4 linked regions of the Diceros bicornis minor genome follow. The protein of the gene in region 1 interacts with the protein of each later gene in a pairwise test. Links are inferred from orthologs where the notes say so. Each region holds a gene or a part of one and is shown in the gene's direction. Other genes may lie near its edges.

What was found.
Region 2: the proteins of MEOX2 (region 1) and IGFN1 interact in binary tests that used the Homo sapiens proteins (3 or more experiments, as listed by UniProt). The two-hybrid records come from large-scale screens. The link is inferred for Diceros bicornis minor from reciprocal best matches to the Homo sapiens genes MEOX2 and IGFN1.
Region 3: the proteins of MEOX2 (region 1) and CSF2 interact in binary tests that used the Homo sapiens proteins (3 or more experiments, as listed by UniProt). The two-hybrid records come from large-scale screens. The link is inferred for Diceros bicornis minor from reciprocal best matches to the Homo sapiens genes MEOX2 and CSF2.
Region 4: the proteins of MEOX2 (region 1) and PIN1 interact in binary tests that used the Homo sapiens proteins (3 or more experiments, as listed by UniProt). The two-hybrid records come from large-scale screens. The link is inferred for Diceros bicornis minor from reciprocal best matches to the Homo sapiens genes MEOX2 and PIN1.

Annotation. Positions count from the first base shown.
Region 1 is NC_080742.1:42,092,930-42,100,740, reverse strand, and holds the start of MEOX2 (homeobox protein MOX-2), read left to right. Parts: upstream 1-4,798; 5' UTR 4,799-4,860; coding exon 4,861-5,374; intron 5,375-7,811. UniProt on the Homo sapiens protein: Mesodermal transcription factor that plays a key role in somitogenesis and somitogenesis and limb muscle differentiation. Required during limb development for normal appendicular muscle formation and for the normal regulation of myogenic genes.
Region 2 is NC_080777.1:29,494,520-29,501,343, forward strand, and holds the start of IGFN1 (immunoglobulin-like and fibronectin type III domain-containing protein 1), read left to right. Parts: upstream 1-3,801; coding exon 3,802-3,811; intron 3,812-3,877; coding exon 3,878-4,000; intron 4,001-5,226; coding exon 5,227-5,366; intron 5,367-6,468; coding exon 6,469-6,568; intron 6,569-6,824.
Region 3 is NC_080740.1:51,374,659-51,381,112, forward strand, and holds CSF2 (granulocyte-macrophage colony-stimulating factor), read left to right. Parts: upstream 1-3,866; coding exon 3,867-4,025; intron 4,026-4,125; coding exon 4,126-4,167; intron 4,168-4,905; coding exon 4,906-5,031; intron 5,032-5,812; coding exon 5,813-5,920; 3' UTR 5,921-5,947; downstream 5,948-6,454. UniProt on the Homo sapiens protein: Cytokine that stimulates the growth and differentiation of hematopoietic precursor cells from various lineages, including granulocytes, macrophages, eosinophils and erythrocytes.
Region 4 is NC_080769.1:9,218,940-9,226,125, reverse strand, and holds the start of PIN1 (peptidyl-prolyl cis-trans isomerase NIMA-interacting 1), read left to right. Parts: upstream 1-4,183; 5' UTR 4,184-4,231; coding exon 4,232-4,289; intron 4,290-6,291; coding exon 6,292-6,504; intron 6,505-7,186. UniProt on the Homo sapiens protein: Peptidyl-prolyl cis/trans isomerase (PPIase) that binds to and isomerizes specific phosphorylated Ser/Thr-Pro (pSer/Thr-Pro) motifs.

The DNA of each region.
Region 1 (7,811 bases):
GAATTGAATGTAACTATTCCCCATGTGCATCATTATGAGGTAACATTGTTGAATAATTCTGGGTTTAAAACAGGTGGACAAAAGGAAGTTCAGATAGAAGCTTTTAAAATTTGAGAGGTAGTCAATATCTTCATAATTTTAACACTCCCCCCCCCACACAAAAAGATAATTAGAATTTCATAAAATGTATGTGGAAATCAATGGGAATCATGGAAGGTTGCATATATTTTGAATTTTTAATTAAATTTATGAATTTAATTTTATCAGTCATAATATACATTTCATGCTAGTTTTCTGAATATTATTTACTATATAGTACCTCAATTGAATTGAAGAAAAACACTAATTTCTGAAAGAAATCACAAATGTAGGAAGAGATAGAAATTAGAAAAACAAAGTATGTTGGATGTTTTACACTTTTCAGAAGTAATGTGTAAGTATGCATTTTTTTCTAGTATATGTAGAAATGTAACAAATTTTATTGCGAAAGCAGTAGTTAGTGTTATGTAAAAATAGTTATTTATTATAAAAATCAGTAAAAGTATATAGAATTACTAAATAACAAGAGTTAGCCATAGCAAAATTGTTTTTTAAATTGTACAATGCATAATTCCTGGAGAAAGGCAATTCCTTAGTTTTTAAAAATGGAGTGCATCATAAATCACATAAATTACCTTTGAGTATTTAGCATATTTTAATATATTTTCAAAATTCTTTATTTCAGAAGAACCAACTGAAGGACATAACTATTATTCTTGGAGAAATAGCAGAAATAATATTTTTATCCTCAACAAAACTTTCAGAGACAAATTCCAGTCTCAATTTAATTTTCCATACTTAAATTCATATATCATAACTATATGTTACTAAGGCAAATATATCTAGCAGGTAAAATGCAAAGTAAAGTTTTATGATATCTGTAGCTAAAGATAATATTTAATTTTAAATATTTTATTCCCATCATGCCTCATGTCACAAGTGTATAGAAGAATGACAACTCTTAAAAGAATCATCATGACTCTTAAAATAAATTTAAAAATAAATGTTTCAGATTGCTTAATTTAAATTCTAGTCCCGTTAAAATAAAAGTCTTAATTAAAAAAAATCGCTGCCTTTACTATTGAATATCATTTCATTAAGCAGAAGGAATGATATACATATTTATCAAATTTAAAGAGCCAAGCACATGTTTAAAATAATTTTGATTATGTTTCCTACAAAAGATGAGCAGCTTACGTTTTTTGTATATTGAACCTCTTGTTATAATGTGCTGCTTGATATCAAAACCTTGCAAGAAATATTTGTATTAATAGAACATTTTTCAGGAAAATTCAAGTATATTGTAAATATAGAATAAATACTATATAATATATAGTTTAAAATGAATGCTATAGAAACTCTATAATAAATTTTGTAATTTTTGCCATTCTTCCTGATATAATTAGCCATTAGAGGTAAGAAAGCATCTTTCAACATCAGATTTTATAGATGTGGACACTGAAGTAGCTATCATAGGAAACGCTAGAAATTTTTCCTATTACATTTTGAAAAAATTCTCTATGGCCTAGAAAATAAAAACCCATATTTTATCTTAATCCAAATATTCTAAGAAATGAAAATTTTGAAAAAAACTTTATGGAGTAATTAATATATATTTGGAAATTCACAAAAAATAAAAGTCATATTTAATTCTGGAATGCATCAAGACCTCCTTTTTACTCCTTTCTTCTTTGAATCACACTTTTTTCTCTTCCAAATAACGTTTTCCTTATATTATGCTTTCTGTTAGAAATCTGGACTTCATCATTTTTACTGATATTATACGTTTTGTGTCTTCAATTAAAAAGACCTTTCCTGCTAGCTTTGTTTTAATTACATGCCTTTCAAAGAGACTCCTTCCCTTTCTAACCTTTTCTAATTTTTCTTTCTCAGACTTCTAGCCCCACCATTCCAGAGGCTGGCTGACTGAGGCAGGTTGTAGAGAAATTTCTGGACATGTTGTTAACATCTGACACAGTGAGTGAGAAAAAAGCCAGCACAGTCATCGGGCAGGTTCAAGGAGAAGTGGCAGCTCCTGGAGATGAAAAGTTTGTGTTTGCTAGTTGCTAGTTACCTGCAACACACTGGTTAAATTCAAATCCATTCATTTCCCAATTGCTTCGCCCCTTCCAAACCACTGTAATGCAAACCAAAAGGACCTTTATGGATGTTTTTTATTGATGTGTGCAGATCAAGTGTATCTTTAGTTAGCCTTGTCTGACATTTTCCACAATGCTTTTAGTAGACAGCATTATATTCAGTAAATATTTCTAGTTACTGTTTATGGAGGTGGGTGCCTAAATTTCTCTTTGGATAAAGCCTTTAATGCTTCCACCCAGAATCCATGGAGTAGTTAGTTACCCGAGTTTGGGAAGTTTAGTGTGGCTCTTTGTACTTCAACTTTTAATATCAGAGCACATATTGAAACCATAAACACAATGAAAATTCAAAAAATATTCCGACGATATTAGAAGAATATAGTCCCTCTTTTTTTATCCTTAAAGAGTCAAGGGCATGAGGAGTGGCAGAAAGAAACATTCTTAAGGTCTAAGCCCTGGACGCCATCCTGCGAGTGGTTAAAACCCTTAGAAACGTGCAACCTGAAGAACACCCCCTTTCGAAGTCTAAAGCAAGATTAGATTCCCAAAACATATCGGCAAAGAAAGTCTTACCGTCAAACGCTTGCAGCAGGTTCCAGCTCAGACCCAGACTGAGAAGCTGAGCAGCTGGTGAACAAAAGTTTTAGCTTTTTTTTTTTTTTTTTAACGAAGTCTGCAAAACTAATTTCCCTCAAAATAGGGCTCAATTTCCGTTAAAGAAAGCAGCACTTACAAATCTCAGAATTCCTGATCACTCCCGCCTCACCCCACCTCTAAGCAATGGAAAACAATTCGGACTTACATATGGATGCAAAGCTTTGTTGCGAAGCCACTATTCTGCAGTACGGCTTAAAAGAAAAGGGAGATAGGCTGAAGCCTGAGGGACTGGGCGAGGGAAAAGGTTCTGCCTTGGGGACACTTCTCACAGATTAATCAATACTTTTTCCTAATTCAAGCCAGATGGCTGGCGCAGTTTGCTGTCCCCATTAATCCCATTAACAACTTCAAAGACCTGGTCCCCATCCTCTGGACACCTGAGACAATGAAAATAGCGGGGCGACGCTGCTGGTGGCACATTTGGGGTCCCCCGGCGGGATAGGTGAGCGTCAATATTCTCCTGATGCGACAGGTCCCAGGCGGGACTCAACTGTTCTGCAGCTCATTACACGAGGCTTTCTTGCCTTGTGTAAACAAACGACTCTGCCCCCAGCAGACAGTGTCGCCCCTCAAGCAAGTGGCAGCATCAAAAGTGGCGGTATCAGCCGTCGCTCGCACTAATTCACTGGTGGCAAGTATTCTAATTCATTTTCTATGATGCAAGATTGTAACCAAGGAGACCTAAAGCACCCAGGTATAGTGAACTTTGGGAGATATTCAAGTGCAATATTTTTCAATAAACGGAGCCATGGCATGGGTTGGGGGGAGGGTGGGAAGGGTTGCGATTAGCTGATTTATTTTCCAGCGGAAGAGAGGGTGGATTTCTGGAGGGAAATGAGGGGACATGGGCTGGCTCTTGAGGGAAAAGACTGGAAAAGTGCGTGCAGTATACACATCTCATGTGACCGGGAAGAAATCGCTTCGGAATATTCCTGTCCCAGAAAAAGTTCTTGGTGGACAAGTGTCTAGGAAATTGAGTGGGACCAGGAAAGCAGAGGGGAGGTAATTTGCGGAAAGCAGAGACGACATTTGCGGAAACCAGGGGAAGAGAGTACACACCTGGCACCGCAGGTGAGGATACCAGGGTCTGGATATCGACAACTGCCACCGCCCCACGTTTTCCTCCGACCTACCCCACCAGGTCCCTCTCCTTTTGGCACCGAGACTGGCCTTTTCTTGCCCGCTGGGAACTTCCCTGCAACCTCGGACCTAGCATCCGAACCTACTAACAACCCACCCACAGATACCAGCTGCAAAAAGCTAGGCTCGTCACTTGGTCCAGGGCACAAGTTCACGCGAAGTTTGAAAAACTTCTCTGAGCGCGCGCCAAACTAGCTCTGATCTTCCTCAACTCTACTGCTCCTTTCGTGCTCTTCAAGAGCTGAGCGCACCCCTAGTTCTCCTGCAGATGACAGTGCCAAAGTGGCATTAGCAAGACACCTTTCCTGAGAGAAGTGAGCGGGCCACACACTGGGCGCGGGGTTGCGACTGGCGGGCATCGCGGCGCGCCTCGGTGCACCGAGTCGAGAGGGGAGAGCCAACGCCCGCCGGGGCTGGGGTTTAGGCGCCAGGCGCGCCGCTTGCAGCCTTGGCGGCTGGCGGGGGCCGGCGGGCGTGGACGCGCTGCGTGCGTCCAGCCGGAGATAGGAAGTGGAACTCGGAGCGCGTGGCGCACACTGAGCGGGAGTTTTGGAGGGAGTTTGCATGTGGTCAGCGCTGGCCTCCTAAGCCAGCCCCCAGCTCACATTACACTCTATTTATAACCTCTCAGAGCCGTTTCCCCCTGAAAGCTGTTCTCTGGGACCACCTTCTTTTGGCTTCAACCTCTCCTACTCTTGACATCTGAGTAGTTCGGAGGGAAGCTCCTCCAGGTCCGAGTGTTTATATGTGAAGGAGGCTGGCCGCTGGGGCTCAGGACAGGGATTATCCGAGCTCTGCAGAAACGCGGGCGGTTATTGCTTTGGGAAGGGAAAAAGTCACACGGTTTTCAGTGAAAAGTGACAGAGGGTAGTGGCGTTTGGACTCGTCGTGAAGTCTTCTGCCTGGAACCCGAGACTTGCATGCTATGGAACACCCGCTCTTTGGCTGCCTGCGCAGCCCTCACGCCACCGCGCAAGGCTTGCACCCGTTCTCCCAATCCTCTCTCGCCCTCCATGGAAGATCTGACCATATGTCCTACCCCGAGCTCTCCACTTCTTCCTCGTCTTGCATAATCGCGGGATACCCCAACGAGGAGGGCATGTTTGCCAGCCAGCATCACAGGGGGCACCACCACCACCACCATCATCACCATCACCACCACCAACAGCAACAGCACCAAGCTCTGCAAACCAACTGGCACCTCCCGCAGATGTCCTCCCCTCCGAGTGCAGCTCGGCACAGCCTCTGCCTCCAGGCGGACTCGGGAGGGCCCCCGGAGCTGGGAAGCAGCCCACCGGTCCTGTGTTCCAACTCTTCCAGCTTGGGCTCCAGCACCCCGACCGGGGCCGCGTGCGCGCCTGGGGACTACGGCCGCCAGGCGCTGTCACCCGCTGAGGCGGAGAAGAGAAGCGGCGGCAAGAGGAAAAGCGATAGCTCAGGTAAGGATGCACCAGGCACCCTCGGCGAAAGGGGGCGGAGAGATGACAGGGAGGATTCTCGCACTATAGTGAGGCGGCAGGGAATATGGTACACGTCTTGTTGCCCTCTCTGACTCCCCGTCGCCAAATTCGGCGGGGCTGCTTTGGTCCTGTTATTTGGGGGCACGTGTTTCTCCGAGGGCGACACTGCAGCCAACAGCGCTAAGCCCTCCAAGGTTCAAACTAGTTTACCAGAGAGTTAAGAAAAAAGAACAAGTGACAGTATGTGAAATCGATTGCGAAGCGTGACCTTTCCTCTGAGCGATGGGGAGGGGAGTGCACCCTGGGATGCAGTGTCCGCTGGGCGTGCGTGCGGGTGCCGCTCCTTGACTTTTCCCTTGCAAGTTCCCGACTCCGAGTGGCTCGATTTTTCCCATCGTTAACTGGATTTCCAAATTATTGCACAATATTTGGAACTTGCAATGGAACTTGGCAGAGAGTATGAGAAAAAATAAGTTGTCGTTTTTTGAAAATATTCTGATTTCAGAGTTCTTTAAATAGCAGCCTATTCCAAATGGTAAAAATTTCCCTTTCTAGGGGAAGAAGACATAATCTAGGAATTCAGAGGATTTAAAGGAACGTATCAGAAAATTGTAAATAAATACACACTCAGACTCTTGAAGAGTGATGATTCTTAATAGTAGTTGTATTCGTGTGGTGCTAATTTAAATTTCTAAAGTGGAAAGTAAAATCCTCCTCCAACTGAGTATTATCGGAGACAAGTATGGGGAAACAAACGACAATCCGGGTAGTGCTAGTTCGCTATGTGCCTGAGGCTGGTGTGCGAGGGTGCACGCAGAAGGCGCTGATCTACGTAGGGATAACTCGAGCAGCCACGCAAAACGGGAAGCTTACTGAACGCGGAGGCTTGAAGGCACAGGCTGCCAACTAAATTGAAGCAATTTAGAGAAACTAAAGTTTTACGGACAATTCCTCAAAGCCGTTACTTATCTGTATCATTATGAAGTTGTTAAGATACTTGACGATCAGAGAATTTGTGAGTTTTCTTCTGTAGCTAATAGCGCAACATACGTCCTATCTTTTTGGAAAGGGTCATTTAATATAATATTTACATATTTTTCTTCCTTTGCGGAATTGGTTTAACAGTCCTAAGAAGGTAATTCCAGGTATTGGTTTGAAAGATTGGAAAATGTTTATCCTTTATAATGCTTTAGGTAAGATCCCACATAAATGACAATGATTGAACTGCATATTTCTCATGTGCCTTTGCAGCAATAGTATCATTTGTTCTTCAGTGTTAGTATGAGATGGATTCTTCTATCACAAACTTAAAATCTAACTTTTACTTTACAAGGTCAGAGGTGAACTTTTAATGCTCCATCACAAATTAGTTTATATCTAAGAAAGTTACCAGCAGTATCACTCATTTTTAATGGTTTTTACTAACCATAAGTGAAACTCTCTTAAGACAAAGTTAAAAGGTTAATCATAACAAGAAGGTTTCCATCTTCACCAGAAAAAAAGGTCATTTTTAGAATGCAGTGATCATTTCATAGACTCAGCATTTGATATCAGTGTAACTTTTTTTGGAAGCAGATCCCAGTTCAAATTGGTCAGCAGCACTTCTGCAATTACTAGAAGCTCTTACTGTTCATTTTACTTCTGCAGTGAGAAACCTATGTGATGGATTGTTCCTATGCTTCCTGAACTGAACCAAACACACCTAAGTTTCTTACGGCAAACTGAATGTTCATATAGGCACATGTTATTTTGGTTGGGGAGAAACAGAGAAAGTGGGATCTAAGAACTGGTGGGTTTAATTTAAATTTAAAGAATTTAAAGTGGGTTCCTTTAAATTATTTTAATAACAACTTTCTTAAAAAATTGGTTATATTAATAGTGCAACCCTGTTTTGGTGGGAAATAACCGTATAACAAAATAACTTTATTTTTACATGTTGAAGCTGATAATTAAAGTACTGAAAAAAACAAACAATCCCCAAAGTTTGCATCAGTTACATAAAGTATTAATAGATTACATCTTGAGTGGGAAATACAATTAGTCATCACCAAAGATAGAATCACTGGGGAGTTAGAATGAATATTTTCTTTGATGGGATATTTTGAAAGAACTTTTGACTATTTAAAAGGAAATTTCACAATAGTTTTTGGTTAAATCTATGTATGCTCATTGAAAATAAAATTTAGTGCCAATTTCACTGTTCAAGTTAATTAATATTTGTTAGCTCTCTAGGTAGATTTTAATTCAAGATATCTTTCTCCTGAGATGATATTGCATTTGGTCTTCCATAATTTACGTTCATAGTTATTTCATTTCATAGTATTATAAAGGTATCTTGATATAGCAGAAACTAAAGCAATGGAGGAAATCACTATAATTCTGATATATTATTAACACATAAGTCTCTCATTGCTTA
Region 2 (6,824 bases), on another chromosome or scaffold:
AGGGGGATGCAGAGATACACGAGTGTGCGTGCACACACACGCCTGTGTAAGAGGTCACACACCAACCCTCTCAGAGCACGTGCAGAGGCTCCTATAGAGTTGGCAATGTGCTAATATCTAGTGCCTTCTTGGAAAACATTAGCTCTCATTTCCCTTCTCCTTCCCCTGAATCCTTGATCAAGTCTTGCTTATTGGTGGCCACTAACTGGTTCTCTGTCCTTCCGGAGAGAGCAGGTGGCTCTTCCAAAGCAGACCAGGTGGCCTTGTCACCTTGTCTCCTTCTGGGCCTCACCTGCCTCCACTCTTCTTAAGAAAGTCTGTTACCAGCCATCCTATCCCTAGTCCCACCTTCCACCCACACATCCGCAGAAACCCAACCCTGCCACCGTCAGCCCCCAGCCCAGCAGCCGGGTCACCCCTTCTATCCCGAGAAAGCTCACCTTCTCCCGGAAGGCCTCCCAGTTGTTCGACTCCCGGGGTCCCCCCTGCCCCACACTTTTGGTGGGGCACACCCCATGGCAGAGCCTTTGGGATCATGCCCTCCTGTCTGCCTAGGTCTGTGTCTAGCTCCTGAAGTTTGTTGTTGTTTAGTGCCACTTTAGGTTGTGATTCACAAGAGGGCAGTGGCTTTATATATCTGTGTGACTTGGGGTGTCAAGGGTCCCAAGGGATCAGCTTAACTGAAAAAATTAAGGCTTTGGCTGATGAAAATGCCCCCGTTAAACAGGGTCAAATAAACGAGGCAAAATGGAGCAGACTGAACCAAGCTAATCTGGTTAAGAGCTCAAAGCTCTGCAAGACAAGAAGTTGGATGAGCTGATGTCACAGGACCCTTCCATCTCTGACCTCCTCGGAGGCCAGGGCATTAATACTGGGGGGCCTGCCCTGCCAAGCCTGGGTATAGGAGGAGGACGGGGGTGGGGTGAGTGGGAGGGGCCGAGGGAGCCGGGTGTCTGCCGTGACCTACATCTGCTCCCAGCACTGCCTGTCCAGCAGCAGTCCATTCAGAGCCTCTGGCAGCGTGCAGCAGCTGGAGACGGGGAGGAGGGAGTGGACAGGAGGCTGGAGGCGGCTGTGCACCCAGGTAAGTGGGCACTGCACACCTGGCTGCCCACCCAGAGCGAGGGTAGGGCAGAGAGGGAGATACTGGGATGCTCTCTAACATTTCTACTCAGGAAGGGGCAGGCAGTGGGCGTGAGATCAGTCGGGGAACACTCCCTGGGGTGCACGTACATCCCCTCTGTACAACTCCAGGATATTTGCAGAAGAGAATTTCAGCGAGTCCTGTCCTGGTGGTTCTATCCTGGCTCTGATTTTCCGGGCGCTGCTTGGCTTGGAGTGTGAAGTGATGAGCAGCTTAAAGATCTGACTGGCCATCCAGAATAAGGACCTCAGGGCTGGGACTTGTTCCATCTTGAGTAATAACAGGTCAGAGCAGTGGAGAGAAACCCCCTTTGTCTCTTCCTGCCTCTACTCCTACCAGCCGAGAAATGGGGGCAGCGGGAACCTGGATCCGCAGGATGCAACAGCAGGTGGAGACGGGATGGAGGCTTGAGGGTCCCGGAGAGAGACCAGGAGACCCTGCCCTGGGGTCCGGGGCTGAGAGCCATGTGGGGACAGGCTGGAAGGAGGACACGAGCTGCTGTGTGGTCCTGAGAAGAATTAGGCTTCTTCTCAAAAGTGGGAATGAACCACGGAGGAGAGAGTATGTTTCCTTCCCCATCCCCTCCGACTGAGACCGCATCCCTCTGGTCTCCAACCAAACAGATCTCTTCCCCATTGCCATTGACCTTGCACCAAATCTGGCTTATTCCTGAAGAGAATGGAGGTCTGGAGGGCGAGATGGCTTAGCCTCGGACCCCTAAGTCCCCGTAGGGGTTCTGCTCCTCTCTCCCTCCCCAGCTGAGACCTGCAGGCAGGAGGCTGGAGGGAGAGGAGAGGTGTTAGCATTGTACTTCTTCATGTGTGACAACCGAGTAAGTGCCTGACGGCTGGTGGTGACGATGATGGAGGTTGAAGATGAAGATGATGGCTGAGATATCTGTGTTGAACTACTCCAGAGTAGAGTAGTAGACAGGTGGAGAGTGGAGGTTGTGGACAGGTGCCAGACGGGGAGTGGGTGGGACGGAGGCCCCTGCAGTCGTCCCCCGGCTGAAGCTGGCTGGGTTCTCCTCCACTGGCGCTGCTCTCCCTCCTTGCCCTCCCCTGTGACTCCTTGCTGCTCAACGGCTGTGGCCCTGTGACTGCTCCAGAACACAGTTGGCACCACGTGGCATTCCAGCACACTGGGGGGCAGTGGCTGGGCTGTGGAGGGGACACCTTGGGGCCAGAAATGCCAGTGGGTGGGCAGTTGTGAAATGGAAGAATGTGAGTAGGAGGGAGGAATGTGCTCTGTCATGTGTGATCCTGTATTTATAGCAGGGCTCTTAGGGGGGGAATGGAGGCTCCAAAATGGAACCCCTTGGCCATGGGCCAACCACACAGGAGGTGGGTCTGCTGGAGAATTCTTTCAAGTCATCGTCTCCCCTCTCCAATTCATGGCTTTCATCAAGGCTCTCACCCCAGCCCAGAGCCAAGACCCCTCCCTCTCCTAGGTGGCACTCACCATGGGCCAAAATGGATAGATGTACTTAAGAGGAAGTCGGGGGGAGGGGTGCGGGTTGGGAGAGGCTGGCAAAACACTCTTGCTCACCTGACGCTATAATTCACTGGCTTCAGAGGGGGGCAGATGGATTTATGGGGAGCCCCTCGGCCTGGGTCGAGAAGAGCTTAAGAGCAGCCAAGTCAAGGATTCTCTCCCGCAGACCCAGTAATGGGAAGGATTCCAGATTGGCTGAGGTTGGGAGGTAGAGGGCTCTGGGCCCTGCTAGAAGGTCTCGGAGTCCCAGAGAATGTCCCTGGAAAAGTGATATTCCAGAGTCAAGGGGGGCAGGCTGTTCAGTAGCTGGAAGGATCCTGAATGCTGGAATTTGATCTCCCGAGGTTCCGGGAGGCTGTTCCTCACCCTCTGAGTGGTCGTTGGGCCTGGGTCCCACCAGGAGGCCAGCCCACCAGCCCAGTTTGTAGGCTCAGCCCCCTGGTGTCCTTTGCCTGGGAAAGGTCCAACTCGGCAGCGTCCTACCCCTTCCCAACTCTGAGAAATCGGTGTTGCTGAGCAGGGATTGCAGGAAACCCATCAGCGTCATTAGCTGGGGTGAGACAAGCTCTCGGGGGCAGTAACCCCACCCGGCTCCCACCCCAGATGCTGGCTGTGGCACTGATGGGTGGGGGATGGGGAGACCAGCCCACACCTCTCATAAGCAGGCCTGTCTTCTATTCTCAGGAGACCAGTCACCACCCTCAGCAGCCAGAGAGGAGCCAGAACTATGGCAGGTGAGGGCAGAGCTCCCCTCCCCTCCCCTAGCACCGCGTTGGCGTTCCTCCCCTGGGTGGAGAGGAGGGAAGGGGGAGGGCTCAGGGAGCTTTGGGAGCTCACCTGCTTCTTTGCTTTTTTTTACTTTTGGTTTGGGGTTTTAACTGGTTTTCCAGAACAAAATGTGCAGAGGCCCCCATGTGGGCCTTGCTTCTGACAAGGAGCCCTTTCCCACTCTCCCTCTCCAGCTTCACCCCAGGGATGCTCCCAGAGTCTTCCCAGGGCGCCCCCTGCCCACTTCCCAGAGGCCCCATTCGCACTGCTGGCGGACCACTGCCGGACCCCACTAGAACATTCAAAAGCACTGCTCACAGGCAGAGCTGTGGGAGACAGTGCTGCCCGACACTGGGGGAGCGAAGAGGGCTCTTCCTCCTGGGGAAAGTGGGTCAATGCTCCATGGTGTGGAAGGGCCACCCATGAGGGAGAGAGGGTAGGGCCCATCTCCCTTTCTCCCGCCTTCTCCAGGGAAGCCCTTCAAGAGGTCCTCTGTCCCTGGGGTGAGCATCCGGCAGCTGGTGGAGGAGGTCCCCAAAGGATGCAGCCTGCCCAACTTCGAGCAGAAGCCCATCACCTTGGCGCTGCAGGAGGGTGAGACCTGGGAGGGGAGCCGCTGAAAGGAGGCAAGATCCCCACTCCCAGCATGCATAGGGCCGTTCTTCCCGGCCTGCCCCCCAGTGCCTAAGCCCATCCCCAGGCCACACCACTTCTCCCTATACCCAGGGGTCCCTGCCTGCCTGGATCCCCAGAAAGGCAAGGCTCTGGGGAGCAGAATGGGTGAGGGAGTGAAGACATGCCATGTTGGCTGATGCAAGAAGTGTCTGGGGAACAAGAACTGGAAATGCTGAACTGGGAGCAGGAGGAGGTTGTGGGGTATCCCAGTGTCCCGCCCTCTCCCCTCCTCCTAGCAGCTGCAGCAGGGAGGCAGCGAAACTGAATGAATTCGGGATCCTCCCAACCCTGGCCTCCGGAAGCCACACGCAGCGGCTCACAGGCTGGGCTCTGGAAGTTTCTGGAAGGCCACATGAGAGAAGTGCCCGGGAGAGTAGGGGGAGCAAAGGCTTGTTGGGGAAGGCATGCAAATTAGTGTTCTTTCCCCAAACCACATCCCTGCAGTGATTTTCAGTTTACAACACTCTGGTATAAGAAAAATCTTGGCCCTCTAGTTTTCTCAATCTGACTCGAAGCCCCACTCCACAAGGTCGTGAGAGTTTTGTCTCATCATTGGGAAGTCCCGTGGGTCTTTACTGCGTACACTCTCTATTGAGATGTCCCTGTGGGGAGCCTGAGAGGTTCCTGGAGGGGGAGCAGCTCCCAGCCTCCCACGCCAGACACGGAGCGTGGGGTCTTTTCTGAGGCTGGAACCCTGCGTCTCAGGACCAGCTCCTTTGAGCGCCAAACAGCCACACCTTTCCAAGGTTGTCGTCCTGCCCTAGAGAGTGGACATGGAACCCACAGAAGACTCATCCGCTTCCCAGTCTTGGGGAGTCCTTCAGACTCCTTACCGCATTCACCTGCAAAGAAACACCCCTCCCACCCCAAGCCCTGCTCACCACCCCTCCACCATGGACAGTCCGGCTGCACCTCCTCCTCAAGGATCCCGGGTGTTGCCATACAAAAGCCAACCGAGGATTGTCTTCTGAGCGCCCGGAAGCTAGAGGAGTCCTTGAGTCAAGGGGACTGAGGCCTGGCGCCCTTCCTGCAGTGGGCCATTGGAACATCTAGAGCAGCGAAGACAACATAAATTAAAATCTCAGTAAACATACTCTCCCCCTCCCCCAACTTGTCAATCTCCCGCCGGCCTCTTCCCGCTACAGGGAAAAATGCCATCTTCCGGGCCGTGGTATGTGGGGATCCCAGACCCGAGGTGAATTGGCAGTGCAGCAAAGGTACCCTCAGTCACTCCAGCAAGTACCAGATCTCTTCCACCCCTGGCGGCAAGGAGCACGTGCTGCAGGTGAGCAGGGGTAGGCTGGGGTCCACCCATCTCTTCCCGTCCCCTCGAGGGGCTCCTTGGTGGCCTCCAAGCCCCAGAGCAGTAAGAGATACCCCCAGCTAGGGCTGAGTCCACTCAACTCCACCCTGTGGCTCCGGGTTGCCTGAGCCAGGTGTGGACCCAGCAGGCTTCCAGGTGGCTCTGCTGATAACTTGGGAGGCAGTGTAGACTGGAGCTTAAGAACTCAAGCCCGGAGTCAGACTGCCTGGTTACGACCCCAGGCCCACACCTTGGCCTAGGAAGGCTGCTTACTTCTCTGCACCTCTGTTTCCTCATCTGTCAAGTGGGTCATAATAGCACCCACTTTATGAGGTTTCTATGGGGATTAAAGGTTATGTAAAGTGTCTGGCAGTGCCTGGCCCGTAGTGAGTCCCACTCAACCAATGTTGGTCAATATTAGCCATATTTATCGCTCCCAGTCATGGACCTCCTACTGTGTGCTGGGCCCTGGGCTAACCACATGATGTAGATTATATACTTTAATCCTCATCATTCACCGTCTTTTGAGGTATTATTACCCTCATTTTTTTTAAATAATTTTATTTATTTATTTATTTTCCCCCAAAGCCCCAGTAGATAGTTGTATGTCATAGCTGCACATCCTTCTAGTTGCTGTATGTGGGATGCAGCCTCAGCATGGCCGGAGAAGCGGTGCGTCGGTGCGCACCCGGGATCCGAACCCGGGCTGCCAGCAGCAGAGCGCGTGCACTTAACCGCTAAGCCACGGGGCTGGTCCTTTTACCCTCATTTTTAAGTAAAGAAACTAAGGTTCAGAGAGGTTAGGTAACTTGCTCAAGGTCCCAAATCTCTTAATACATGACAGAGACGATGTGTAGTCTCAGATACGTCTGACTCAAGTAAGCGAGCTCTTTCTGCTACACTGTGTTGCCTCTGATGGCAAAGAGCGGGCACATCCACCCTCTGTCCTGATCTGGGATTCTGTTTTAGGGTGTGCTTTCCTGATGAGGACAAGGGCCGTGTCTTACTCATCTCTGTGATACACAGCCATGTCTAGTAAATGGAGGGGGATGCTAGCCCTGTCCCCCGCCCTTGTCCTCTGCAGATCAACAAGCTGACGGGTGAGGACATGGACGTGTACCGCTGCACCGCAGTGAATGCGTACGGAGAGGCCATGTGCTCCGCCAGGCTCACCGTCATCGAAGGTGGGCACCCCGGTCCGTCCCTGGCTCTGTCCCAGCTCCCGGCATCTAAGGCCTCCTCGCACCTGTGGGGAGGGAGGGGGCCCCAGGAGGCTGCTGCCCTGCCTGGAGCCAGAGCTTGCGGCCTCGTCCACTTACACACTAGCTCTGCGTGTGGTGGCACAGGCGCACGCTCGGCAGACGTCCCATTGCGGGCGCACTGAGGGACTTTCTCTTAGCCCCGTGGAATGAGCTCAGGACCTGGAAGTTGGCTTCTAGT
Region 3 (6,454 bases), on another chromosome or scaffold:
GAGTGGAGGAAAGGTTGAAACATTGCCTCCTCCCTGGGAGGATTCCCCTACAAAGTTTCCTGGGACGGGCAACAATTACCTCTGTGAGGCAACGATAATTAAACCCATTGAACAGATGGAGGAGCTGAGGCCCAGGGAGGAGGGACTTTCTCAGGCTACCCAGGGATCAGTGGTGGAGAGCCCAGACCTGAGCTGGAGACACAGAGATGTCTGGATGGTAGGCTCTGCTGGAGAAATTCTGCCTTCGGCCCCCAGGGCTTCCCTGGGATAGTCACAGGCCACTCCAGCTTCCCTGCCAGCACCTGGAGGCATCTCCCTTTACAGCCGCCCTGAGGGGGACATCCCCCCACTGGTCTAGCCAGGTGACCAGCTTTTCCTGGCTTTCCAACTGAGATAGTAGAAGACATCAGGGGAGCAGGAACGGTTATGGGTTCAAATCCTGCCTCTGCCATTACTGATTATGTGGACTGGGTGGGCCATTGGTCTCCTGGGCCTCAGGTCCCCAGGGAAGACAAGGACGCCCCCCACCGAGGGGTTGCAGGCCCAGGGAAGGGTGAGATGAGCTGAGACGCCCATGCAGAGGTCACATGGGCTGCGCGGCACTCGGAGGCCCGTTTCCTTCTCCCATGATGACTTCCTCCGTGATAAGGATCTGGTGTGGCCACAAGCCCCTGTTTCTTCCAGAACCTGTGGGAGGGACACTCAAAGGAAACCTCTTCCAGAGGGTTTTCTCCTGGCCATGTGGGAAGGGGGCCAAAGAGGAGTCACACTGCCCATCATGGTCCTCACCCCCGCCCTCCCACAGTCCCACTGGGGCCCCTGAGTCAGCACGCTGCTGGATGCTGTTGCTGCCACTTTCCATGCGGTGCAATCTAGGAATGCCTGCCCATGTCATGGCCTCAGCCCTGATGTCATCTTTCCAGAAGTAAGATGTGTGGCTGACCACGAAACTCATTGCCAAACCCGTGGACTGCTGTCCCTTGTGTGCTACCTTTGGTGCCCATAGCCACACCGCTGGCATGGCCCTCTCCCTGCGGCTCCTGCTTTCCTGCTCTCCTAGTGCCCTTGGCTACTGGAGAGTCTCTTGCCCAGCTATCATGCGCCTGGCCCTTAAGCACCACTGTTCTGGCCCTCAGCCTTGTGGCCTTAGCGATTGCATAGACATGGACCACTCCCATGTCTGTCTCCTGTGCATGCAGCCTCCAAACCACAGAACCTTCCCATGGGCCCTTAGACCCTGCAGACCCACTCCTTCATCCCCTGGGTCCCCACCTTAGACACCTGGACAGTGGTTCCAACTCTTCTTACACACAAAAGCATACTTTGGGGAGGACGGTGAGTAGATTAATCTTGCTTCTCCATCCATGAGGCTACATAGAGGCAGGACCTTGTCTGTTTTCCATCATCCTTGTATTCCCCTTCCCGCGCAGGGAACCTAGTAGGTTCTCAATAAATATTGAATGAATGTTACCAAGTCCTACCCAGATTCTACCTCCTAGATCTCTTTGGAAACTGCCTCCTCTTTACCACACCTGCTCCTAAAACCCTCTGCCTCTCTGTGCCCCCAAATACTTCCCCCTATCCTGTCCTCCCTCTCCATCCCACAACCTGACTTGCCTACCTGACTCTACTTGCCCCTTCAGCCTGTGCTGGGAGGCAGCATCTCCCAGGAAGCTCTCTGGTCCCCTTGAACCTCCAAACTGGAAGAAGTGGTTCCCTCAGCTCTGAACTTCCCTCATCCCAGCCTGGACCACACAATGGGAGGGTCCACTGCTGTCTGTCTCACAGACCAGACTGAGAGCCTCCAGGGCCAGATGTGAGGGTGAGTGGGAGGGTCCCATCCACCTCCTCCCCAGCACAGGGCCTGGTGCAGATTGGAAAAGTTTGTTGACTAATTGTCTTAGTGTGATGACTCATTTCCAGGAGGAAAGTGACCTTCCATCTCAGAGGGGCCATACCAGCTCTCTGCCTCTCTGGCCACCAACTTAGCCACTGCCTGTGGCCTCCACTCTCTACCACCCAGCCTCCAGGGCACTGTCTGACACAGACCTTCACTCTGTGTGTCATCTGCATCTTAGCCTCCTTGACCCCTTCCTTGGAAGGGGTTGAGCAGAGGCCTTATGGAAAAGGTGGAGGAAGCGCCAGGGCCTGGACATGCCATACTCTTACCCCCAGCCTGGCCACCTAAGAATGTTCCATCAGGCTCAGAAGGGCAGGGCTGACCTCATGGTGGGTCCCAGATCCTGGCAGGCACCCCAGTGGGGTCTGAAGGACTAAGGCCTGGCCTCTCCATGCAAGGGCAGCAACCCTCCCGCCATGCAGTGAAACTTGCCAGGGCTGCAGGCTTGGACCCCGGGACACATGAGTTCTACCTGCTCTCGAGGGCTGTCCACTTAAGCCCAGCAGAATGTCCTCGCTTGTGTCTGACCCCATTATCTAGGCTGAATCAGACTCTGGGGCCCAGAAACAGATCACCTCTCTGTGCCCCAAACACTCTCCCCCATCCTGTCCTCCCCATATCAGAGGGGTACCTGCAGAGGCATGGGGGCTCACATGGATGTACCTCATGTAAAACATTCCCCCTTCCTGACACGCCTGTAAGACACAGCCAACCACACTGGCACATAGATACTCAGAAATGTACACATGTGGACCTACACCCCTGTGGCCTTGAAACTCGCAGCAAACACAAACTCGTGCTATCCTTTCCTAACTCCATTGTGAAAATCAAACACTTCTCAGACTCTCAAGAGCCTGTGGCTTTCCCAGAAGCAGTTCCTGTTCCACAGAGAGGCCTCTGGAGCTGGAGGTGGGCTGGGGCAGGGGCCATGTAGGAAATTAAGCCTGGAAGACCTTGTCTGAGACGCTGTTGTCCCCCTGGTGTGGATGCAGCCATAAGCCCTCAGCCAGCCTCTGAAGCTCCTGGCGCCTGCTGGGGGCTGTCATGCCCTGCAGAGCGAGGCAAGGCTCACACAGCTCAGAGGGAAAAGTCACTCAGCAAGGTGGTGCTGGAATCAGGATTTGAACTCAGGGCCCTAATGCACCCCAGCTGGGAACCCCAACCCACCTCTGCAGCTTGGGCGTTGAATATGGCTGTGTAAACCAGAACTGCTGCTGTCAGATGGAACCTCACCATGAAGGAGCACTGCAATCCTGCTGGCTGGATGTGTGCACGGTTGCCATTCTCTGCTCACAGGGGCTGTAAGGCAGAGGTCCCTGGAGGGGCTGAGCTTGTCGACTGCTCTGCATCCTTGGTGGGAACTGTTGCAGGTCTATGCCATTTGGCTGGAATCTGCCTAGGTGGACAGTGGGCTGAGAGTGAGTGTCCTCCTCACACTCAAATCTCTCACTGTGGCCAGAGGAGAGGGCTCTAGGAGGAGAAGGGGAGTCTGGGGTTGGAACAGACCGCAGGGTGGACACAGCCAGCCCAAAGGCCTCTTGGGATAACAAGCAGGATCCGGGGGAGCCTGGGAATATGAGCTTGATCCAGTGTCTCCCAGGCCCCGCCCCGGCCACTCCAGGCCAGGAAGTCCAAGCTGTGCCCAGAGGCCCCTCAGGGGGAGGGGACAGCCTCAGCAGGTCAGACTGCCCAAGGAGGGCTGGAGCACGCTCAAGTAGGCAGGCGGTGGGCTGCCAATTCTTGGAAGGGCTCATTAATGAAAACCCCCGAGCCTGACCACCTAGGGGAAAGGCTCACCGTTCCCTTGTGTAGCTGATAAGGGCCAGGAGATTCCACAGTTCAGGTAGTTCCCCCGCCTCCCTGGCGTTTTGTGGTCACCATTAATCATTTCCTCTAACTGTGTATATAAGAGCTCCTTTGCCAGTGAGCCCAGTGCTCAGAGAGAAAGGCTAAAGTCCTCAGGAGGATGTGGCTGCAAAACCTGCTTTTCCTGGGCACTGTGGTCTGCAGCATCTCCGCACCCACCCGACAACCCAGCCTTGTCACCCGGCCCTGGCAGCACGTGGATGCCATCAAGGAGGCCCTGAGCCTTCTGAACCACAGTAGTGACACTGCTGCTATGATGGTGAGTGAGGGAGGGAGCACGGGCTGTGCCTGGGACACCTCGCTGGCCCCAATTGGCCCTGCCTATCAGCTTGATAACACGACATTTTCCTTTTCTACAGAATGAAACAGTAGAAGTCGTCTCTGAAATGTTTGACCCCCAGGTAAGATGCTTCTCTCTGACACATCTTCCCAGAGGTCTCTGCCTTAGGGGGTGGCTCCATTTTAGATGGACCCTCACAGGGTTGTCCACTTTCTCTCCAGTCAGCTGGCTGCCAGGAGGGGTACTCAAGAGGCCACCGGCCTTGCCCGTGTGGCAATCATGTGAGCTCCTTTATTAGCTGAGCAGCCATGTACAGACCTAGCATTCAAGGGGCCTGGGGTGACTAGGGGACAGTTGGGTAAGCGGAAGTTACTTCGTGAGACAGGGGCTGTGGGCATGGGGTACTCACTGTGTGCTGAAAGCAAGCCCTGTGGAGACAGGGTGCTGGCTACAGAGGGGCACGGGGGTGGTTTCAGGAACAAGCCTTGCTCATACAACAGGTCCAGCTGATGTCCTGCTCCGCCCCTCTCTCCCTGAATGGTAGGGGTTAGTGACCTCATTTCCTGGGGGCTGGGACCCTCTTGAGGTGCCAGACCAAGGGAATGTGGCTGTGCTGGCTGAGGGTGGCCTGAGCTGAATAGTGAGGAGGAGTCAGACTCGTGTCTGCAATGGATAGGGAGACAGGGCAGTCTGTGTGACTGGACCTGGCCTGAGACGAGTCAGGAATCATCCTGTGCCCCTCCCAGGCCCTACTGTTGGAGGACAGGGATGAGAACAGAAAAGAATGATGCAGAAGGTGTCCTGTGCCCACAGAAGGGCACTTGGCCACTGCTCACTGAGAAACGGACATTTCCCACAGGAGCTGACATGCCTGCAGACTCGCCTGGAGCTGTACAAACAGGGCTTGCGGGGCAGCCTCACCAGGCTCAAGGGCTCCTTGACCATGATGGCCAGCCACTACAAGCAACACTGCCCCCCCACCCCGGTGAGTGCTCACATTTGGGCCCCAAGCGGGAAGGTCTCAGCCTGGGAGAGTAGAGGACTGGGTAGGGAGAGACCTGTGGCTGTGGCTGTTCAGGATCCCAAAGGGTTTCTGTCTGAACAGATTTGTAATGATTAGCTCCTCCAGAGAGGGAGCAGTCCAGCCCATTTTCATCTCTAGGAGTTAAAGCTGTGGAGCTCAGGAGCCTACAGCGCTCCCTAGCGGGAGCTGCTACCACTTTTGTTATTTGTTGTCATTAATGAGGTCAGAGGTGAGGCAAACCCAAGGAAACTCAGGGCCCGCCTAAGGTCCAGAGGAAGTCCTGGGCCCAAGTGCTGCCTCCCGACAGGACTTTCCTCTTGCCCCTTGTGGGTGCTGGACTACTTGGGAGAAAGGATGGGGACATACCTGGAATGGACAAAGGCCCCAAACATTCCTTTCCTGTGGGAAGGGAATGAGGTCTGTGGCCTTGACGCCTGCCCCTTTTGGGATCCTGGAGCCAGCCTCAGCCTGGCCTGGGACCAAAGAGGCAGTTGCCCCAACTGCCCAGCAGACCAGCCTCAGATTGGCACTTTGTCAGGTCTGTGGCCCTGGCAGAGCTGTGTACCCTTTGAGTGGCACATGGGTGGCAACATGTTACCTGAGCCAGGTCAGCAGGCAGACCCCAGAGGGGCCTTCTGGCCTCTGAGATCTAAGAGGCAGCGCAGAAACACGCTGGTGCTTCCCTCACGTTACCCACTCACGTCTGGACTCAAGTTTTCTTTTTCTTTTCTTTTTTTTTAAGGAAACTTCCTGTGCAACCCAGATTATCACCTTCAAAAGTTTCAAAGAGAACCTGAAGAAATTTCTGTTTGACATCCCCTTTGACTGCTGGGAGCCAGTCCAGGAGTGAGGCAGGCCGGTCCAGACAGGAGCTAGCCCTGGGAGCTTACTTCACAGATGGCTGCCCTCCCACCCACAAAGAGCCGAAACTCAGGATCTTCACCTTGGAGGGACCACAGGGTGGGCCAGGGCTGTGGAAGACATGGACTTGCTCTGGGCCATGCTGACCTTGATATGGGTGTGGTAGGGGAGTAGGAGATATTTTACACTGGCAGGGATCAGTCATATTTATTTATGTATTTATGTATTTTAATATTTATTTATTTATTTATTTAAGCTCATGCTCCATATTTATTCAAGATGTTTTACTATAATAATAAATTATTAAAAATCTGTTCTTATTTGTGCAGTTTTCCAGTTTGTTTTCAACCATGGGCAAATGCTGGTGGTTCTTTCCTCCCCACAGGGCAGGGAGGGAAGGAAGCCTCGAGGTAGGGGAGGGCCTGTGGCAGGTTGGGCACTGTCCAAGGGGCAGTCAGAGCAGAGGGGAAGTGAAAGGTGCCCTGGGTGCAGCATTCTGCACACCAGGACGTGCTTCACTGGA
Region 4 (7,186 bases), on another chromosome or scaffold:
AGATGCACTGACATGCTAAAATTGGTGGGTGAAAGTTTAAGCAGCAGTAGGGTATTTGCATAGTCTCAAAGTATCTCCTCAAAAATATTTATTTATTACAAAGGGGAAAATAGTAAGTGTAGATACTGCCTTAACCAAGTGATCAAAGTTAATATCACAAGTGTGGTAGGCAGCCTCTAAGATGGCTCCTAATTATCCCTCAGTCGGAGTATTCACATCCTTGTGTAATCTCTTCCTCTTGAGCGTGGGCTAGACCTAGCTTCTAACAAATGGAACATGGCAAAAGTGATAGGATATCAATTGTGAGATTAGGTTGCAAAGAAACTGTGGCTTCTGTCTTGCTTGCTCTCTTGCTTTTGCACTTGCTCATTGATGAAAGCCAGCTGCCATGTTGTGAGCTGGAGAGACCCCCAGCCAATAGCCAGCAAGGAACTGTGGTCCTCATCCAACATCCTGTTAGCAACTGAATCCTGCCAGCAGCCACATGAGCGAGCTTGGAAGCAGATCCTGCCCCAGTCAAGCCTTCGGATGAGGCCACAGCTGCCCCTGCTGCTAAACTGCCTGGATTCCTGACCCATAGAAACTGTGAGATAATGAATGTTAGTCCACTAAGTTGTGAGGTAATTTGTTATGTAGCAATAGATACCTTAATACAACCAGTGATGCACTGCAACACCATCGATCACCTGGTACGATGCACTGAGAAGGGCACAGGTCTCTGGGGTATCCTTCCCAATAATGCATAACCTCAATCTAATCGTGAGGACACATCCAACAATCCCATCATGACAAAACATCAGAATGAGGGACATTCTACTCTTTAAAAGTATCAAGGTCATGAAAGACAAGGAAAGACCTGGAGGGGCCGGTCCAGTGGCATAGTGGTTAAGTTCACATGCTCCGGTTTGGTGGCCCGGGGTTTGTGGGTTCAGATCCCAGGCGCGAACATGCATACCACTTACCAAGCCATGCAGTGGCAGGCATCCCACATATAAAGTAGAGGAAGATGGGCACAGATGTTAGTCCAGGGCGAAACTTCCTCAGCAAAAGAGGAGGATTGGCAACAGATGTTAGCTCAGGGCTAATCTTCCTCACCAAAAAAGAAAGAAAAAAAGAAAAGGAAAGACCTGGAAATTGTCACATATTGCAGGAGACTAAGGAGACATGACAGTGTGGATCCTGAAATATAAAAAGAATATTAGTGGAAAAACGGGGGGAAAAATTCTTTTAAGTCTAGTTTAGTTAACACATAATATTGTACCAATGTTGATTTCTTAGTTTTGATAATTATTCTAAGGTGTGGTTTCTCAGCTCTGGCACTGTTGGACATTTGGGGCTGGATAATTCTTTTTTTTTTAATATATAATTTTATTTATTTATTTTTTTCCCCAAAGCTCCAGTAGATAGTTGTATGTCATAGCTGCACATCCTTCTAGTTGCTGTATGTGGGATGCGGCCTCAGCATGGCCGCAGAAGCGGTGCGTTGGTGCGCGCCCGGGATCCGAACCCAGGCCGCCAGCAGCGGAGCACACGCACCCAACCGCCAAGCCACAGGGCCAGCCCTGGGCTGGATAATTCTTTGTTGTGGGGACTGCATTGTAGGATGTTTAGCAGCATCCTTGGCCTCTTCCCACTAAATGCGAGTAGCATCTCCCTCCCCCACTTTGTTTTGTTTTTTTGTGTGTGTGTGAGGAAGATCAGCCCCGAGCTAACATCTGTTGCCAATCCTCCTCTTTTTGCCAAGGAAGATTGGCCCTGGGCTAACATCCATGCCCATCCTCCTCTACTTTACGTGGGACACCATCACAGCATGGCCTGACAAGCGGTGCGTCGGTGCGCGCCCAGGATCCGAACCCCAGCCGCCAGCAGCGGAGCGCGAGCACTTAACCGCTAAGCCACCGGGCCGGCCCCTATTATTATGTAAGATGCTAATATAAGGGAAGGCTGGGTGAAGGGTATATGAAAACTCTCTACTACTTTTACAACTCTGCCCTAAGTCTAAAATTATCTTTATAAAGAGATGATGATTGGGCCAGCCCCGTGGCTTAGCGGTTAAGCTCGCGTGCTCCACTGCTGGCGGCTGGGGTTCGGATCCTGGGTGCGCACTGACGCACCACTTGTGTGGCCATGCTGAGGCTGTGTCCCACATACAGCAACTAGAAGGATGTGCAACTATGACATACAACTATCTACTGGGGCTTTGGGGGAAAAATAAATAAATAAAATTATAAAAAAAAGAGAGAGAGATGATGATTATTATGCTAATACATGCTTGTAAAAAAAATCAAAATGTTATATTAGAACTTAAGTTCCTCATTTCTTCACCTGCGTCACCAGTGGTAGTCATTAACATATTTGGATGAATCCAGAAATTTCCTGTAATATAAACCTGTAGTTTTACACAATTGAGGTAATTATACATACTTTAATACTCATACTGTTCATATTGCTCATACAGCAGCTTGCTTTTTAATGCTTTTTATGCTTTGATATCTTTCTATAAATGAGGGCATTCTTTTAAATCAATTTTATTCGTTGATTTTTTTTGGTTATGTTATGCTTTCATATATACTATAATTGCTATGCTGTACTATGACTTACTGTTTTTTCACCCAGCAAATACATTATCTTTGCTATCCACCAGGCACTATTTAAGTGCTTTATATAGATTAATTCATTTAATCTTCCCATCAAAGCTATGTATGAGGGGCCGGCCCCGTGGCTTAGTGGTTAAGTGCGAGAACTCCGCTACTGGCGGCCCGGGTTCGGATCCCGGTCGTGCACCGACACACCGCTTGTCTGGCCATGCTGAGGCCGCGTCCCACATACAGCAACTAGAAGGATGTGCAGCTATGACATACAACTATCTACTGGGGCTTTGGGAAGAAAAAAGGAAAAAAAGGAGGAGGATTGGCAATAGATGTTAGCTCAGGGCCGGTCTTCCCCAGCAAAAAGAGGAGGATTAGCATGGATGTTAGCTCAGGGCTGATCTTCCTCACCAAAAAAAAAAAAAAAAAAAAAAAGCTATGTATGAGATATGTGTTATTTCTTATCCTCATTTTGCAGATGAGAAAGCTGAAGTACAGAGGTTAAGTAATAAGTTCAAGGTCGTAGCAAATGGTAGAGCCAGGCTTTGAACCCAAGCAGTCTGGCTCCTGTGTGCTCCTCACCTTCTACCGCATCCTGCCCCTATAATTTGTTGTGCATATGTTTCCCTGTGTTTCATGTCACTGCGCCTCATTCGATTTAATGGTCACATAAGGGGCCATGCTATAGACGAAGTGTCATTGAACTCTTCCCTGTTGGTGTTTTTGACTCCCATGTCTATCTCCAGCCCCACGTTCCCAGTCACCTCCTCAGTGTCCCATGAACGCCACAGACTCAATTTTAAATTGACTAAAACTGAGCTCATCCTCCTCCCACCCGCGCCTGCTCCCCTGTCCCCATCTGAGTGGCAAGGTCAACACTCACCAGTCATCAAGGGCAAAGGCAGGAGCTAGATTGAGAAAGAATAAGTGACATAAAGTAGGTTCCAAAGGAAATGAAAGGTGTTTGGGTCAGTGGCATAGGGAAAAGGTTAGCCTTGCAAAAAAAAATAAAAGGGCGTAGGTTAGCTTTGGACGTCTGGAGGAAACAGGTGGGAAGAGGGAGGATGGAGGAGACAAATTTAGGCTTCTGGGTTCTTAGCTGCTCATCACCAAGGCAACTGCGCTGCTGTGGCAACAGCAAAGGAGCACCGCCACCGCCCCAAGTACCTCGTCGGCTGCCGTTCCCTCCGCACCAGCCAGACGCTTCCGCATGGGGGGGCTTGCGGGGCTCCGGGAACGGCTGAGGAAGGCGGGAATTGCTGCTGCAGTAGCCAATCGGGTGGGCCCTGCGGAGAAGGGCGCAAAGGAGGGGCCGGGAGTTCTTTGAAGCTCTCCAAAGGGCATTGAGAAGGCGGGCTCGAGTCCCTTCTCCACCACTTAGGGGCCGAGGGGAGGGAGGGGGCGGGACCGGGGTGAGGCCGACCGGGGGCGGGACCCGGGTAAACAGTGGAGAGGGTCCGCCCACTCTGGCTTCTGCCCAATAGGAAGCCAGGGAGCCAGTCCGGACAGTTAGAGTACCCAATGAGCGTCGTGGCCAGGCCCCCGTGCGCGGGGCGCCGAGCCAATCGGCGGCCGCGGCGGGCGGGCGCGGGCGGCGGAGGCGGCGCGGCGGAGGCGGAGCGGGCGCTGCGGCAGGAGGGAAGATGGCGGACGAGGAGAAGCTGCCGCCCGGCTGGGAGAAGCGCATGAGCCGCAGCTCAGGTGCCGCGGGGTCGGGGCTGGGGCGGGGCCGCGCGGGCCCGCGGAAGTAGAGCTCGAGCTCGCCCCTCGGGCGCCGCGCCGCCGCCCTGTTGCCGTGGGGTCTTGGCTCCTCTGCGTCGTCCCCGGGTAACGGCCCAGTCGGCCCCGTGGGGCTGCGAGCTGGAGGAGCGGGGAAGCCGGAGGAAACTGAGGCAAGGGGCGGGGCCGGAGAGGCCCAGCGCGCTGCCGGGGGGTGAGGGGCCGGTGATCCGGCTGCACCGCCCGGGCGGTGGCCGTGGCCCTACCGGGCCGGCTGACACCTTTCGGCCGAATGCACCTGCCGTCCCGGGGGACCGTCTCTGCACTCCGCGGGGCCCGGGGGCCACCCCGGGGGAGGTCACCCCACCCCCATGCTCAGGGCGTGGCCCCAGGGTGTTGCCCAGCCTGGGATCCGCAACCTACTTTTGCTAACACGCCTGCCGTGCGCATCTAATGCTGAGTCTGCGACATGCGGCTGGTGGTGTTCTCTCTGAGGATGGCGCCTGTGCTGGGGGCCCGGGTTAAGGCTCATCCACAGTATTCATGTCAATAATAGGGCACGTTTGTCTCAGCGCCAGGCATTGTGCCAAGCTTTTTAAGTGTGTTCTGTCTCTGCACGGCCGTAACTCGGGGGGGGGGGGAGAGGTCGTTCTTCCTCCCATTTTGTAGATCAGAAGACTGAGGCCAGAAAACTTAAGGAAGTCTCCCAAGGTCGTTCATTTCAGGGGTGGGGGCTGAGTTAGAACCCTGCCCTTGTCACTGCAGACTACTGAGGAGCAGGCCCTGCGTCTCCCTCCAGTGGCTCCATAGCCCGTAGTAACCGCAGTGGCAGTTATAATTCCTGATTATTGACCACCAGGCACTGCGGCGAGCACTTTGCATACATCATCATCGATTCCACGTTAACCCCGTGAAGTTTGATGTCCTTATTCTCTCGCCTCACTTCTACTTTTCAGATGAGAAAACTGAGGTTCAGGGAGATGGAGCCTGTTGCCAAGGTTTTAGAGGCAGGCAGTGGCTCAGCTCTCAGCCTGCTCCGGCCCTGGCCTGCGGCTGTGACCTGCAGCATAAACTTGATGCTCTGCCCAATTCCGGGCCCCCACTCCTGCCACTTGTGCCTGGCTCAACCCTGAGAGTGTTCCTTAGGGGTGACATCAGCCCTTCAGGGTGCTGGGCGCAAGTCTTCCATGTCACCCAGGGAAACTCTGGGCCCCTGGAATGATACCCCATCTCTGCTGGGTCCTACTTCTAGCTTCTTATTTGCAGCCTTCACTGCTTCATGTTCCTCAGTCCTAGGTAACGTCTGGCCCCCAGTCATTCTGGCCTCTGGTTCTGCGGCACAGCATACGGGGTGGGCGACAAGAGCAGAGCTTTTGTGTCTCACACACGTGGGTGCAGTTCCTGCCTCCCCGCATTTGTGCCTGGAGCAGAGTAGACACTCAGGAAACGTAACCAAAGATGCGCAAGGTGAAGCCTCAGTTTTGTCGTCTCTAAAATGAAGAAAATAACAGCTGGCACACTCTTCGTGCCAGGTGCTCTCCTGAGCATGAGTTTTATCCTGAGCATCAGTTCCAAATGTGGACTTATTCAGCCTTCCAGGCAGATACTGTTATCTCCATCTTACAGGTGAGAAAACCTGAGGCCGGGGCAGGTAGGTCATACCTTGAGGAAATGGCAGAGCCAGATTTGAACAGGTGTTTGGCTGCCTGCGTGCTTTGAACTACTCCCTGTCCCCAAGGCTTCCTCTCTTCCTCACCCTGGGTTATTTTCCTTCTTGAAGTTATGGCTGAAGTTACTGTCTTATTTGCTGTCTGGTACCTGTTTGTCCCCACCTAGAATGTTAGCTTCCTAAGGGCCTCTGGCAGGTGGTGGACACAGTGGATTTGCTGAATGAAAGCATCTCATCGGCCAGTCCTGTATGCTGGCCCAGGGTGGTGTCCTGTGAGCACGTCGGCGCTGAATTCCCGCCCGCCCCCCCCTACAGGCCGGGTGTACTACTTCAACCACATCACCAACGCCAGCCAGTGGGAGCGGCCGAGCGGCAACAGCAGCAGCGGCGGCAAAAATGGCCAGGGGGAGCCCACCAGGGTCCGCTGCTCACATCTGCTGGTCAAGCACAGCCAGTCACGGCGGCCCTCGTCCTGGCGGCAGGAGAAGATTACCCGGACCAAGGAAGAGGCCCTGGAGCTGATTAACGGTGAGCGGGGCTGGCGGCGGGGGCTCGGGGTGGGGTCCTCTCCCCGGGAGCCAGAGCCGGCCTTGTGGAAACCACGTCAGACCTTCCACCCCAGCTGGCTCAGCTGTCAGGGGGGCCCTGGGTCCCTGAACTTGACAGGAGCCTGGCCCACACGGCCGCCTCTCCTTTTTCTTTCCATCTGGTGTTGGAGGCTGAGCCAGGGTAGGTGGGGAGGACCTAGCAGATCTGGATTCAGGTGGTTGCTATGCCACTGTAAGCCCCTTGACCTTGGGGGACCCGAGTCACCTCCTTAAGACTCAGTTTTCACCTCTGTAAAGTGGGCGTCATCACATACCTATCTGTGAAGGCCGCTGGGAAAATTCGGTGAATGAGACAGTCACTGCGTGCCGCACAGTGGGCCCTCGGTCAGCGGGGCTGTGGTTGATGGTAACATCATCGAGCAGGGTCCTGGGGCACATATGTGGGTGAGTAGGGAGGGAGGTTGGAAAGTAGCAACGCAGAACCAGCTGGCAGAGTTGGTGAATTAATTCTGCCCCGAGGGAGGAGGCTGTTCCTTGCTCTGTTCTGTGCTTCCTCCACAGTCTAGAGCAGCAGTTGAGAGGCAAACTTTTTCTGAAAAGGCCAGATGGTAAATCTTTTAGGTTTTACGAGCCATAGGGTCTCTGTCGGCTTTGCCTTGTAA